Drosophila melanogaster: one gene and its partners. The protein of the gene in region 2 interacts with the protein of the main gene of each other region in a pairwise test. Each region holds a gene or a part of one and is shown on either strand. Other genes may lie near its edges.

Evidence for each region.
Region 1: the proteins of CG14011 (region 2) and eEF1beta interact in a two-hybrid assay, tested with the Drosophila melanogaster proteins (one large-scale study listed by BioGRID).
Region 3: the proteins of CG14011 (region 2) and Lipt1 interact in a two-hybrid assay, tested with the Drosophila melanogaster proteins (one large-scale study listed by BioGRID).

The regions. Positions count from the first base shown.
Region 1 is NT_033778.4:16,866,463-16,869,928, forward strand, and holds eEF1beta (eukaryotic translation elongation factor 1 beta), read left to right. Parts: upstream 1-1,759; 5' UTR 1,760-1,849; coding exon 1,850-1,929; intron 1,930-2,028; coding exon 2,029-2,617; 3' UTR 2,618-2,818; downstream 2,819-3,466. Other genes in the region: Psi (P-element somatic inhibitor), read right to left, coding at 1-784, 864-935; CG6426 (uncharacterized protein), read left to right, coding at 3,059-3,140. UniProt on the Drosophila melanogaster protein: EF-1-beta and EF-1-delta stimulate the exchange of GDP bound to EF-1-alpha to GTP.
Region 2 is NT_033779.5:5,579,003-5,582,827, forward strand, and holds CG14011 (uncharacterized protein), read right to left. Parts: upstream 2,115-3,825; 5' UTR 1,964-2,114; intron 1,909-1,963; exon of another isoform or gene 1,901-1,908; 5' UTR 1,890-1,900; coding exon 723-1,889; 3' UTR 578-722; downstream 1-577.
Region 3 is NT_033778.4:16,195,105-16,200,026, reverse strand, and holds Lipt1 (lipoyltransferase 1), read right to left. Parts: upstream 2,986-4,922; 5' UTR 2,700-2,985; coding exon of another isoform or gene 2,511-2,699; 5' UTR 2,247-2,510; coding exon 1,689-2,246; intron 1,543-1,688; coding exon 1,081-1,542; intron 1,021-1,080; coding exon 850-1,020; 3' UTR 649-849; downstream 1-648. Other genes in the region: Shark (SH2 ankyrin repeat kinase), read left to right, coding at 1-302; CG42837 (uncharacterized protein), read right to left, coding at 2,511-2,699; CG44242 (uncharacterized protein), read right to left, coding at 3,225-3,335, 3,425-3,556; caly (calypso), read left to right, coding at 4,118-4,310, 4,370-4,922.

The DNA of each region.
Region 1 (3,466 bases), on a different chromosome or scaffold from region 2:
GTGCATCCTTCTGGGCAATCAGATCGAGCACCATCTGCTTGGCGTGCTCTATCTTCTGCGCCTCGCCGGATATGCGAAGGGGTTTGATCAGCTCCTGGTTTGGTCCGTCCTGGATGATGATCATTTTGGCTCCGGTCTTCTCCTGCAGCTGTTTAATGGTATCGCCGCCCTTGCCAATGACCAAGCCCACCTTGGCGCCCGGAATCATGATCTCCTGGTAAGGTGGATACCCGCTAGGTCCCGGTGGCGGCATATTGATCGTCAACAGCACCTCCACCTGTCCCCCGCCAGCCCGATTGGCCATGTTCTGAATCATTTCGCGCCCCTTAGTGACTGTATCCCTTTGACCACGCAACATGATAACGCGATCTTGATCCTGCATGACCTGCACTTTTACACCGGACTCGGCCTGGATGTGGGTGATGGTGTCGTTACTGGAGCGACCCATAAAGGCGCCGGCTACCGATTCGGGCAGACGGATCTGCTCCTCACAGCTTGTTCCCGCCGAGGCGGCCAAACGAGCGGCTACCGCAGCAGCCTGGGCGATTGCCTGAGTAATACTGGCACCGCCGGGACCTCCGCCGCCGCCACCACCACCCCCGCTACCGCTGCTCATGTTGGAGCTGTTGTTGGCGTACTCCGGACTGCCCAAGGAGCGTTTGGATTCCGGACCGCTGTCGCCGTCGTCGTTGATACGCTTAAAGCCAGGCCCTCCACCCGAAGACGGTGGCGATGGACCCGCTGTGCCGCCGCCCTGCTGGCTGGGCTGGATCTTGGCTGCGATCTGGTTTGGGGATTGGGGCAAAAGAAGCCGAATCAATGCCCACTTCCGCTTCTTCCTCTTCCAAGTGGTGGGAACTCACCTGCTTGGCACGCTGAATTGCCTGCGCGAGTGCCTGCGATTGATTGATGCCTTGTTGCTGGAAGTCGCTCATAGTTCTGGGTTTATAATAGGTTCAATTCGGTTCTTTATGGTTACCACTTGTTTTTTTTTTGTTCTGTTTGACCGCACGCGTTGAAAATTCAATAGCCGAAAGCGACGATTTTTTCACAAATGCTGAGGAAATACTATAAACGCTTCCTATGGCATTTGTTTAAGTGGCTTTCGAATGTCTACTCTGCCTTATTGTTGAGCCGTTTTTTTCATGCGCTTCTACGTTTTTTTTTTTAATTTTTCTTTCGGCTTTTCAGTGAAAATTATGCGTTTGCAAAAAAATTGTGTAGCATTATAGCTTGATTGGAGGCGTTTTTTCACCCTCATGATTTTCACTGCAACGGTAACACTGCGCATAAGATATTCACGGTTTTAGTCCGCGCTTTTGGTATATTTGTGTTAAATTAAATATTCAATGACTTATATGAATTTATTTGAAAGTAAAGGATCTACTTAAACTTAATTTCTATTAAGCCCAAGCTCCCAATTTGTGTGAATTTGCCCAAGGAAATGCATATTGTTTTCACAAGTTACAAAGTAGAAGCATACAATTTCTATACAATTTTTTTCCTTTTCAGAATATTAAATGTAATTGTTTGGCCTTAAATTTACGTAGCCAATAGCTAGCTTAAGTATAAGGTATTAATTATAATCCTTATGTTTTATTAAAAAAAATACAAGTAAGCGTTAAAAATCTATTTGAATGTATGGTATATTTGAACGATATTTACTCAAACTCCGGGTCACCCTGTGTTGCAACTACTTGAAATACTAGGAAAAAGTCAGTATTTTCATTATATGTTTAAAGACCGTTTCCCGCGAAGGTCACTCTGTTCTTCTTTCGTCGGCAACGTTGCGCAGAGCACGGCTCCAGATTTGTTAAACGCGAATTTACCCCACAAAAACGCATTTAAAATGGCATTCGGTGATGTGACCACCCCGCAGGGACTGAAGGAGTTGAACGCCTTCCTGGCCGACAACAGCTACATCAGCGGGTAAGCACGCGTCATTAAATGTGAGGTTATGTACGACCTCACCACGTCGGCAGATGTATTGATCGAATAATTTTCTACCCATTACTATACTCCCATTAGATATACTCCCAGCAAGGCCGATCTGTCCGTGTTCGATGCTCTGGGCAAGGCCCCCTCTGCCGACAATGTGAACGTGGCCCGCTGGTACCGCCACATCGCCTCCTTTGAGGCCGCTGAGCGTGCCGCTTGGTCGGGTACTCCTCTGCCCCAGTTGGCCGGTGGAAAGCCCACAGTGGCTGCTGCTGCCAAGCCCGCCGCCGACGATGACGACGATGTGGATCTATTCGGATCCGACGACGAGGAGGACGAGGAGGCCGAGCGCATCAAGCAGGAGCGAGTTGCCGCTTACGCCGCCAAGAAGTCTAAGAAACCCGCCCTCATTGCCAAGTCGTCGGTGCTCCTCGATGTCAAGCCCTGGGATGACGAGACCGACATGAAGGAGATGGAGAACAATGTCCGCACCATCGAAATGGACGGTCTGCTGTGGGGCGCCTCCAAACTGGTCCCAGTCGGCTATGGCATCAACAAGTTGCAGATCATGTGCGTCATCGAGGACGACAAGGTGTCCATCGATTTGCTGCAGGAGAAGATCGAGGAGTTCGAGGACTTTGTTCAGTCTGTCGACATTGCTGCCTTCAACAAGATCTAAACATCTGAGATTCTTATATTAACAATAAACTTGAGCAAAGCGAACTAAGCAAATATAGTTGTCTTCATATTTAAATAAAATATTTCACATGAAAGCTGCAATAAGCCAATCATAATTCAGATTGTAAAAACACATCAGTTTTATTGGAATAATGATTGAAATTTTGTAATTTTCACCAAAAAGTATACTTTTATAATCGGTAAAAATCTCTAATCTCTTTAGTTGGCTTGCTGGCTCTCTCAAGTTCTCAGCTTAAGTCTTCCGTTTTGAAGCTTTCGGCGAGCTTTTGTCAACAAAAAAGCGAAGCTCGTAGCACTTTCAGCTCAGTTGATCGGGCAGCTCGATAGAGGTCGGTTGTTTACAGATAGTTGTGATACTGTTCAGTGACTTTTCAAATTGCATTTGCAAACAAATATTTTTCGGACACAAGTACTGCTTATAATGGCTGCCAACAAATTGTGCTGCACTTTGGCTATTGGCGCTCTTTTGTGTCTGGGATTCGCAGCCCTCATTCAAGCTCAGGGTGAGTTAAATACATCGAAAACTATATATTTACATTATATAGGCGAGAACATTTCCGTTCTTGTTATTGTTCGCGAGACGTATTTGTTACGCATTTGCTGAGATTTGCTTTTAACACGAAATATACAAATACCTGATCGTCTGCATTCATTAACATTAATTAGCAATTGTATAGATATTTGAGTCTTTTGTTCTGCGCCAAGACATGTTTCGTTCTTGAGCGGATTTCCCAGATATATTTATCCATCCATCGTGTTTGTCGCCATTTGCATACGACAAGTATCTGGAGGTTGACAAACGTCCATTTAAACTCGGGGATTTCTGATC
Region 2 (3,825 bases):
CTCACATTGTTGTGAGTGAAAATTTGAGAAATATATAGCAGTAGTGTATAAAATGTTATTTCATTAAATATACAGACATATTCAATCATCTTTGCAATCTTGAGCAAAGCGATGCAAGTAATGGATATCTTATAGTCGATGTAACTATATCTCTCTACCTCTTGCCTTTACTATGGAAATTTCACATAAATTGTTGCATTGTAAATGCATTTGAACACTTTGAGACTGAATATAGACATATATCGCCTAGACGGTCAAATTGGATATATATGATTTATAGCATTTGCTAATGATGATGAGCATGTGTACCGTCGGGGGCATGCAACATCTCCTTTGTGGGGTCAGCTTAATGCAGCTCATTAACGGACCACCGACTCTCCTTGTATGATTGTGTAGCGGTAAACTGAATGCTTTTGACCCACTAATGAGCAAGTGGCCACTAACTGCTAAGAGCTAGTAAACTGATCATCTTTAAGGTGCAAACTGTTCTACATATTCACTTATGGAAATTTATCAAAATTACAATTATCTAAGGCTTACTATGACTTTAGAAAACTAAACCAAGAAACATTCTTTTCGGGTATTTAATAGTGCTAAATAAATAAATATGGTTACACTTGTTAAAACTTTGGTTTCACAGGGCGAGCTAACTCTCACCTTTTAGGCAGCCTGTCCAGGCCATACACTTCTCCCCACCTCCGACCATTTCAAATCCGACCAGCTTAATTCACCCACTGCTTGGGGTTTATAAAGATGTCGGAAACGGTGCCGCGCAGCGACTTCATTCCCTGGCTGGAGGGGACGGGCTTGGGCCTCTGGGCCACGTTGCTCATCCACCGACTGAAGGCCTCTTCCGCCTGCGAGCGGCGGGCGGCCTTCTCCTCCTGGCGCCGCCGCTCGGCATTCCGCTGCTCGAGGCGACGCTGTTCGAGCAGCCTAAGCTTGTGCAGCTCCCACTCCTGCAGGTGATGTTGCACAGACGCCATATTCTTTTGCGGCGGCAGCTGGGCAGAACGGTCGGGCTTGGTGAGCTTGGCGGTACTGGTGGTCTGCTGCGCCTTCTGCTGACACCACTGCTCGTACTTCTCCTTGGCGAGCCGCTGCCTCAGCTCCGTTCGCTGCCGCTGCGCCTCTCTCTCGGCCTGCTGCGCCTGCAACTTGTACTGGCACTGGCGTTGCTTGCCGGACAGCCAGTTCTCGTAGGCCTCACCGGCGGACCGCCGGATATGGAGCGGTTCGATGCGGCGGGTGTAGGTAAGGGGCGGCGATCCTACGCTCGATCCCAGGCGCAGCGAGGGCAGGCTGTGGCTTAGTGGCAACTCGAGCGGGGCCAGCATGCTGTCGTCCCGGGACATGGCCTCCTCCCAGCTGCACATCGAGGTCGTCGAGTCCTTGTCGCTGGAATTGTTGCCGCTGCGGGAAGAGGGGCAGGATCGGCTGCTGCAGCTACTCCGGTCCGTGCTGGTGCTACTGCTGGGACTGCCCAGATGCAGGCAGACCGTCTCCGACTCCGTCTGCAGCTCGATATCCTCTCCCAGTTCACCGACGCGGGGCCCCTCAATTGTCTTGGTCGACTTCAGGGTGCCCAGGGACAAATCCGAGCAGCAGCGCAGAGTGGAGGTCTCCGTCTCGTCCAATGAGTTGACTTCACTGGACGACTCGGAGCTGCCCACGTAGCGCACTGTGCTGGGGCTACCCATAGAGCGCACGAGGCTGTCCTTGTCACAGGTCTTGATGAAAGTCCTGGAACCCTTTCTTCGCGGTAGCAGTACACGAGCCCCCATCTCTCTGGCTTGGCCATCTGAATCCTGCTGGCTGGGCTGGGTCATGCAGAATAGTTCATGGTCGATAAGGGTTCCCTGACTGTTGACTTTGCCCAGAAATGCCATTTTGCAGTGCTCTTCTTTCCTAGGATTCCTCTTCTGAGTACAGATAGTAATCTTTATGGGGCAGATGAACCTACCTTCTTGTGTAGCCAATATTCAAATTCAATACGTCGTCAGGGACGATTTATGGAACACCTTGCTGGCTTCAGAACCGATAAACTTTGAAGTCTATGAAAAGTGTTTAAGTTTGTGTGTTGGAATAGCGAACAATAAACTTTTTCGTTTCTTGACATAAAACTCAAATGAGATGAATAGTCTTAGGTTCATTTTCCCCTTTTCGTTTAAATGTGAATGAATACGACATACCCTTGATTGCATGGGTATGTCCTACATATCCTTGCACCACCCTTTCGACGGCTGCCACCCTTCTCAGCTCAGGACAATGTAATGAAATGGTTGTCTACCGCACGCTTTGCGCTGCATAACATTTAGGTTTCAATTTCTATTAATATGCAATTTAGCTCTTTTTTCCTATTATAATTCTACGTCTGTGGCACACAGCTCCCCCACTCAAGCCCGGGTCCACGGATTGCCGATCGGGCCGCGCACAACTTGATTGCAGCAGCTGAAGTTGCCGCGAACGGTTGTTGCTCTTACATTCTAATCGAAATTTTTATTGTTCATAGTCACGAAAGTGCGCGGCTCTGGAGCGATGACGACAACACGGCGTCGTCTGCGGTGGTGCAGTGGCTCACCGGCTCTACAAGCCGGGTGGAGGTGGTGCGGTGGTGCAGCTGTGGCGGCAAGGTAATGTCAGTTATTTGACAGCGCCGACAGTCGAGTACGCTGCCGTGGCAGACATGCCACACTGCCTCACTGCTACATCACATCGGCTGCTCAAAGCCAGAGGCTGATCTTGGGGGGGATTAAGGGGGCCCTATTTCAGTTGGGTTTCAACTCCACTAACCTTTTTTATATATCAGCCGAAAAACTAGCTGCCCCCAAAAAAGTATATGCTGCCACTGCCACTGGTGCTCAGGTATGATTTCTAGTCGCGATGTTTAAAAGCTAAGCCAAATATGTGCCACTTTGGCATAAAAATTGCCGTGCAGGCCCTCCCACCACGCCCCCTCAGCCTATGACCACATCCGAAAAACAAAAGCGGAAAAGTGGAAAATCAGAAGCAGCAGACGTCGTTGGAAATGCAACCGGCATTATTTTATAATTTACAAACAAGTCGCACGAATGTAGCGACATTTGCAACAGGATTTGCCTTCATCGACAGCCAACGCAGATGGCCGTCCTCGAAACATGAATTTCCATTAGCGGTAGATGTATTTCACAAAACTTTTATTGATAGAAATCGAAATCGGTACCCTAAGGTACATTTACTCGAAACGCATAATTTTGTAAGAAATTTTTGGAACGTTAATGGAAAGATTGTACAATCTCATTGATTACATGGTGTGCTAGGGAAGTAGTGAAATAAACGGCTTGACTATCACATACCTGTCAATTATCAAATCGATTTCAATTCCAAGCTGAGTAAATTCTTAACTTAAAATTAATACATTTTTCGTGTCATTGTGTTCCCACATGATTTGTGAAAATTTCTACCATTATTGCCCTAAACTTAAACGAACCACTTTTGCCACAGACGTTGGATCGGTCTTTGGCCAACTTTTCTTGCTCAGTGCTTTCACTTTCAGGCCAGTCGTGCAATTAATAGGAAAACCCCATTAATGTCCTCCTCACCTCCTTTGCAAGCCAGACAAGAAGTCAGTCAAGGAGGCAGTGAGCTGAGCCCGAAAGGCGGCTGGAATATGACTTATTTAAGTCGGAGCCGCGTGTTAATAACTTTGCAAGCCTCGCCAGGCATGCAAACTTCAACCATGTGAGTGTCCTTCGTTGGATTTTCGCCTCCTTGCTGGCTCTTCTGCGTGTGGCAGGCAGATTAAAGTGACAGACAGGGCTACGCAGGCAAAATAACAAAAGGTGG
Region 3 (4,922 bases), on a different chromosome or scaffold from region 2:
ACCTGGGCATCTTCTCGCACGCCAGTGATGTGTGGTCCTTTGGCGTGACCATCTGGGAGATGTTTTCCCTCGGCGCACCGCCATATGGGGAAATATCTAATGTCGATGCCATCAAGTTGGTGGACAGTGGCGAACGCCTGCCGCAGCCCAATCTCTGTCCAGCTTACATCTATGCCGTGATGCAGAGCTGCTGGAAGGAACGACCCAAAGATCGGCCAACCTTTGTCTATCTCACCGAGTTTTTCGCCCGCGATCCTGATTACCAAAACCTGCCGGAATTGGTGCAAACGGTTCACATTTAAGCCAGTTTCCATTTTCCATTTTTTCCGTTCTGAGTGCAATTTTCTGTAGCTATTTATGCAATGTCTTCTATTTCGTTTTCAACGTATTAACGATCTGGAACCCACAGATCACTATTGTTGTTCCGTATCCTAGTATTCATGTTTATAGCTTGTAATATATTTTTTAATCATATGTACAACCAATTTGTGTCAAAAGAAAGCGAACAAGTGCCTTAAAGATTTAGCATATAAGCTTTGTATTCATTTTTACAAATCCATTTTGTTTCATTGGTTATACAAAATAAAAACTATTTTTATACATACTGCGCTTTTTGATTTAGTATTAAATAATACAGCAGTATGCTTTAATAATCAATGTTTAAACATTTAATGCAGTTCTTTTATATAAAACGTGGTAACAAAAGTAAATAGTTTGTTGGTAAACCGCTTAAATACTAGGTTAGTAATATGGTTTCTTGGAAAGATTATAACTACGTTAGCGTGGTTAGTGCTCTAGAAATGGATTATATATTTTTTTGTTAATTTTTTCGAGCTAGCACAACAGTAATCAAGCTGATCCGTTTATTGCCTGCTTCACATTCGATGCGCTGACGAGCTTAAGGGCGCCAAGTATTCCGTTCAGGTTCTCCTCGTTGTAGGGCTTGCCCTGGAGCGGAGTCACCACCGGGACGAGCTGATCGCTCTGCGGCAGCTGGATGCCGATCTCCTTCATTAATCCCTACAAATTTAGTAAAATCATAAGTGATAATTCTCTAAAACAGGGCAAAACAAATCTTACCGCTTCCACTTCCACGCTTAGTTTCAGTTTCATGTCCTGCTCATCGCCCTTCACCTCCAGTTCCTTCTGCACGGTGAACTTGGGAGTCTTGCCGATGACCCAGTCCCAAGAGCTGTAGTTGGAGCGCAATTCCTCAATGCCGGGGAACCATTTCTCTGTGGGATTGACCAGCTGAAAGCCGCGCTGCTGCATCGTCTGTGTGCTGCCGCCGTCTTCAAGCGTAGTTGCAGCCGTTCTCAAATACTCGTAACCCACGGCGGAACGCAGCTGAGCAACGTTCACCGTGCGATTGACATCAACCAGGTTGCGAATGGGCGACGGCACCGAAGCCGTGGCCTTGCTAATATAATTGGCCGGCTCCCGCACCAGAGATTCGCCCAAGTGCAATTTGTTGGCGCTGGCCAAAATGGTGCAGTGATGGTACGAGTTCGGGTGTCCCAGCTTGGCCGCAGTGCCGGAAATCTGTAATTGAACAAGGGCATACTCGTTGAGTGGGCAAATAAAGACCAGATGCACAGCCCCAGCTGTTGGTTAAGTGAGCTGATGCCAATGTGAGGGATCAGCCGGGGTCGCATCATTCCTTGATAAGAGCCACCGCTCCTCCTCACCTTCTTATTCATCACTACAATGTCGTCGCGCTCATTTATCTCTGCCTTGATGGCCCATTCGCGGAACAAGGCCCTGGTCACGATGTTCAGGTTGTACTTGCGATCGTAGCGCTCTCTGGGCGAGAAAAAGGTGCAGTTGAGGTTCCCAAGATCATGGTACACCGCTCCACCGCCACTATTGCGGCGTGCAAGTGTTATGCCGCGTTCCACCAGCTGCGAAACATTAGCCTCGGTGAAGGGATTCTGGTGGCGACCAATGACTACGCACGGGTCGTTGGCCCACAGCAGCAGCACATGGTGGCGGCTGAAATCAAAGTTTTTGTACAGCCAATCCTCTAGAGCGAGGTTGGTGAACACATCGCTGGACTGCGAGATGAACACGGACTTCTTGATCTCCGAATCGGGAACCACGGGCGGTGGCTGGCGCCTCTGCTTTTTAATCTCCTGCTGTCCAGCAGATGGTGGCTCCACTCCGCTGGATGCCAGGCGCGTGGCCTGAGCGGCGGAGGAGAGAAGTAGCCGCAGCTGGCTGGAATTGCGTCGCAACAGCATGCTCATGGCTTACACAAGGAAGTGGGGCGTACGGGTGTGTGTGATTTCTGTTGCCAGGTGATCTGGGACACAATGCACTTGCAAGCGAAACAAGGTCAATGGTGTCGAAAAAAGCTTTTGGCTGGTTGATTGGTTGGTTGGTTGGTTGGTTTCTACGGTTGTCGTCTGCCTGGTTCTGTGTGGTCCGTGTGTGCTCTTCTTTAGGTTATGTATGGTCTACTATCTACGCTATTCGTTTTGGTCTTTAAATGGCTTTGGTCGCTCTGGACTTTAGACTGTGGCGTTCTTAGTGGCTCGGGATGTGTTTGCAGCCACGGAGCTGGCCGAGATGAGGTATTCGTGCAGGGCGGGCGTCTGATGCAGCCACTTCCACGTTTGATGCAGACCACAGACACGCTTACGGAGACCCAGGCAGTCCTTGTTGGCACAGTTCACTGGCATACTACGCCTCACACCCATCCAGGTGGGGGATACAACGAATCCGGTGTTTACGGGGGGCCGCAACGTTACGGGGCCCAAATAAGATGGCTAAAGGGTTTCCTTTTTAGCTGACACCAAAATTTTCCACTCTTTGTTCGCGGCGCACGGGAACTGCGGGGGGCGGGGGCAAGGCGGATGATCGCAGTGGGCGGGGGTAGCAGTTATAGCACAAACAAACGAACGAACACAGAGCCGATCGAAAAGCAGCTGCGCGTGTGGAAATATCACGACCGATTGGCTTTCGTTTCAGATGAGCAGTGGTGCTCGCTGCTCTTGTTCTTCCTCGACGGTCCCCAAATGCCATTCGCAGCGAACGACGAAAGCTCCGGTCATTAAAAAAAAAAAAAAACAACGGCACTCTGGCGCCGCACTTAATTTATTTTCATCTTTTTAATTCGAACTTGTATAATTTACGCTAAACATGTGTGATAATCCGAGACGTCTACAACAGATGTGACATTAATATGTGTTATATTTTATAAGCAGCATACTTTGAGAGCCCCTTCAGTTTGGAATACCCCCATTATTAATGTAAGCCGCCTCTTCGGGATCAATTGGCTTGCGGGCAAATCGTGCCGGCAGCTCGTAGTCCTCAATTGCTGGTCCACCGGCCAACTAAATGTAGAAGGGACAATTACGAAGATTAGTTATGATGCACAGAAGAAGCCGTGGTATTGTGTATAAATGAAATGGGCTGGGTTAACCTTTTTGCCTCCTGCGGCCTGGGAACTTGCCTTCTGGTTTGCTGTCTGGGCGCCCGGCACTCCTGCACCACCCTTGCGGAAGTGTATGAGCGGTACGCGCTTAGCCAGCGCAACTAGTGTTGGTCGAACCATAGCAACAGCAATTGAATTTCTACCAAAAAGCCAAGGCAAAAGTAAAAGTTACGTGAATAACAGCTGACTGTAAACTCATACAAGCGCTGCCAGATCGTTAAAATTGCATGCCATTCGCCGCGCAATGGATTATTATCGTTATTGAAATTTACGTGATCCTGTGAATGGCTAAGGCAGATAAGAGGAAGCGCAAAAAACTATTTTGGTCCAAATCGGTAATATTTTTATATTTAAAATGAATTGGGGACAGAAGATAACCGGCAGCCGACGGCCCTAACTTCTGGACGGACATCGCCAGTATATGGATTGCTCCTAAAACTAGCAAACCAACGTACTTATGCTCTATGCAACAATAAATGTCATATGAAAACAAACTATTGAAGACGTTTTTATGAGTATAACCGGTAACTATTTCATTTGTTTATTATATTAATGACAAATAAACTTATACGTAAACATTCCTTTGATAGATTTTCATGTGTATATCCTTCTCTGTGCAGAAAAACGAAATTAAAGTAACATCTCGGATACTTTCGCAGCAATTGTATAAGCCATACAAATATGAACGCTGCTGGAGGAGGTAGTGGTGCCCAGGCGGCCGCAGTGGCGGCAGGCAACAACAGTCTCAGCCACAATGCGCTACTTTCCACGGCCTCAGGAGCCACCACCATGCCTATGGCCCAACTGGCAGACGGTTGGTTGGAGCTGGAGTCCGACCCAGGTCTCTTCACACTGCTTCTCAAGGATTTTGGATGTAATCTATTTGAATATGCCTTGTTCCACACATCCTATTAAAATATGTACTATCCTTAGGTCACGATGTACAGGTGGAGGAGGTGTACGACCTACAGAAACCCATCGAGAGTCCATATGGCTTCATATTTCTCTTCCGCTGGATCGAAGAGCGACGCGCCAGACGCAAAATTGTGGAGACAACTGCTGAGATATTCGTCAAGGATGAGGAGGCCATTTCCAGCATTTTCTTCGCCCAGCAGGTAGTCCCCAATAGCTGTGCCACACACGCGTTGCTTTCGGTGCTCCTGAACTGCAACGAGAACAATCTTCAGCTGGGCGACACCCTGAGTCGACTAAAAACCCACACCAAAGGCATGAGTCCGGAGAACAAGGGGCTGGCTATTGGCAACACTCCGGAGCTGGCCTGTGCCCATAACTCACACGCAATGCCGCAGGCTCGGCGCCGTCTAGAAAGGACGGGAGCGGGCGTCTCAAGTTGCCGCTTCACGGGTGAGGCGTTTCACTTCGTTAGCTTTGTGCCTATCAATGGACAACTGTTTGAGCTGGATGGCTTGAAACCGTATCCCATGAATCACGGCGGTTGGGAGGATAGCGAGGATTGGACAGATAA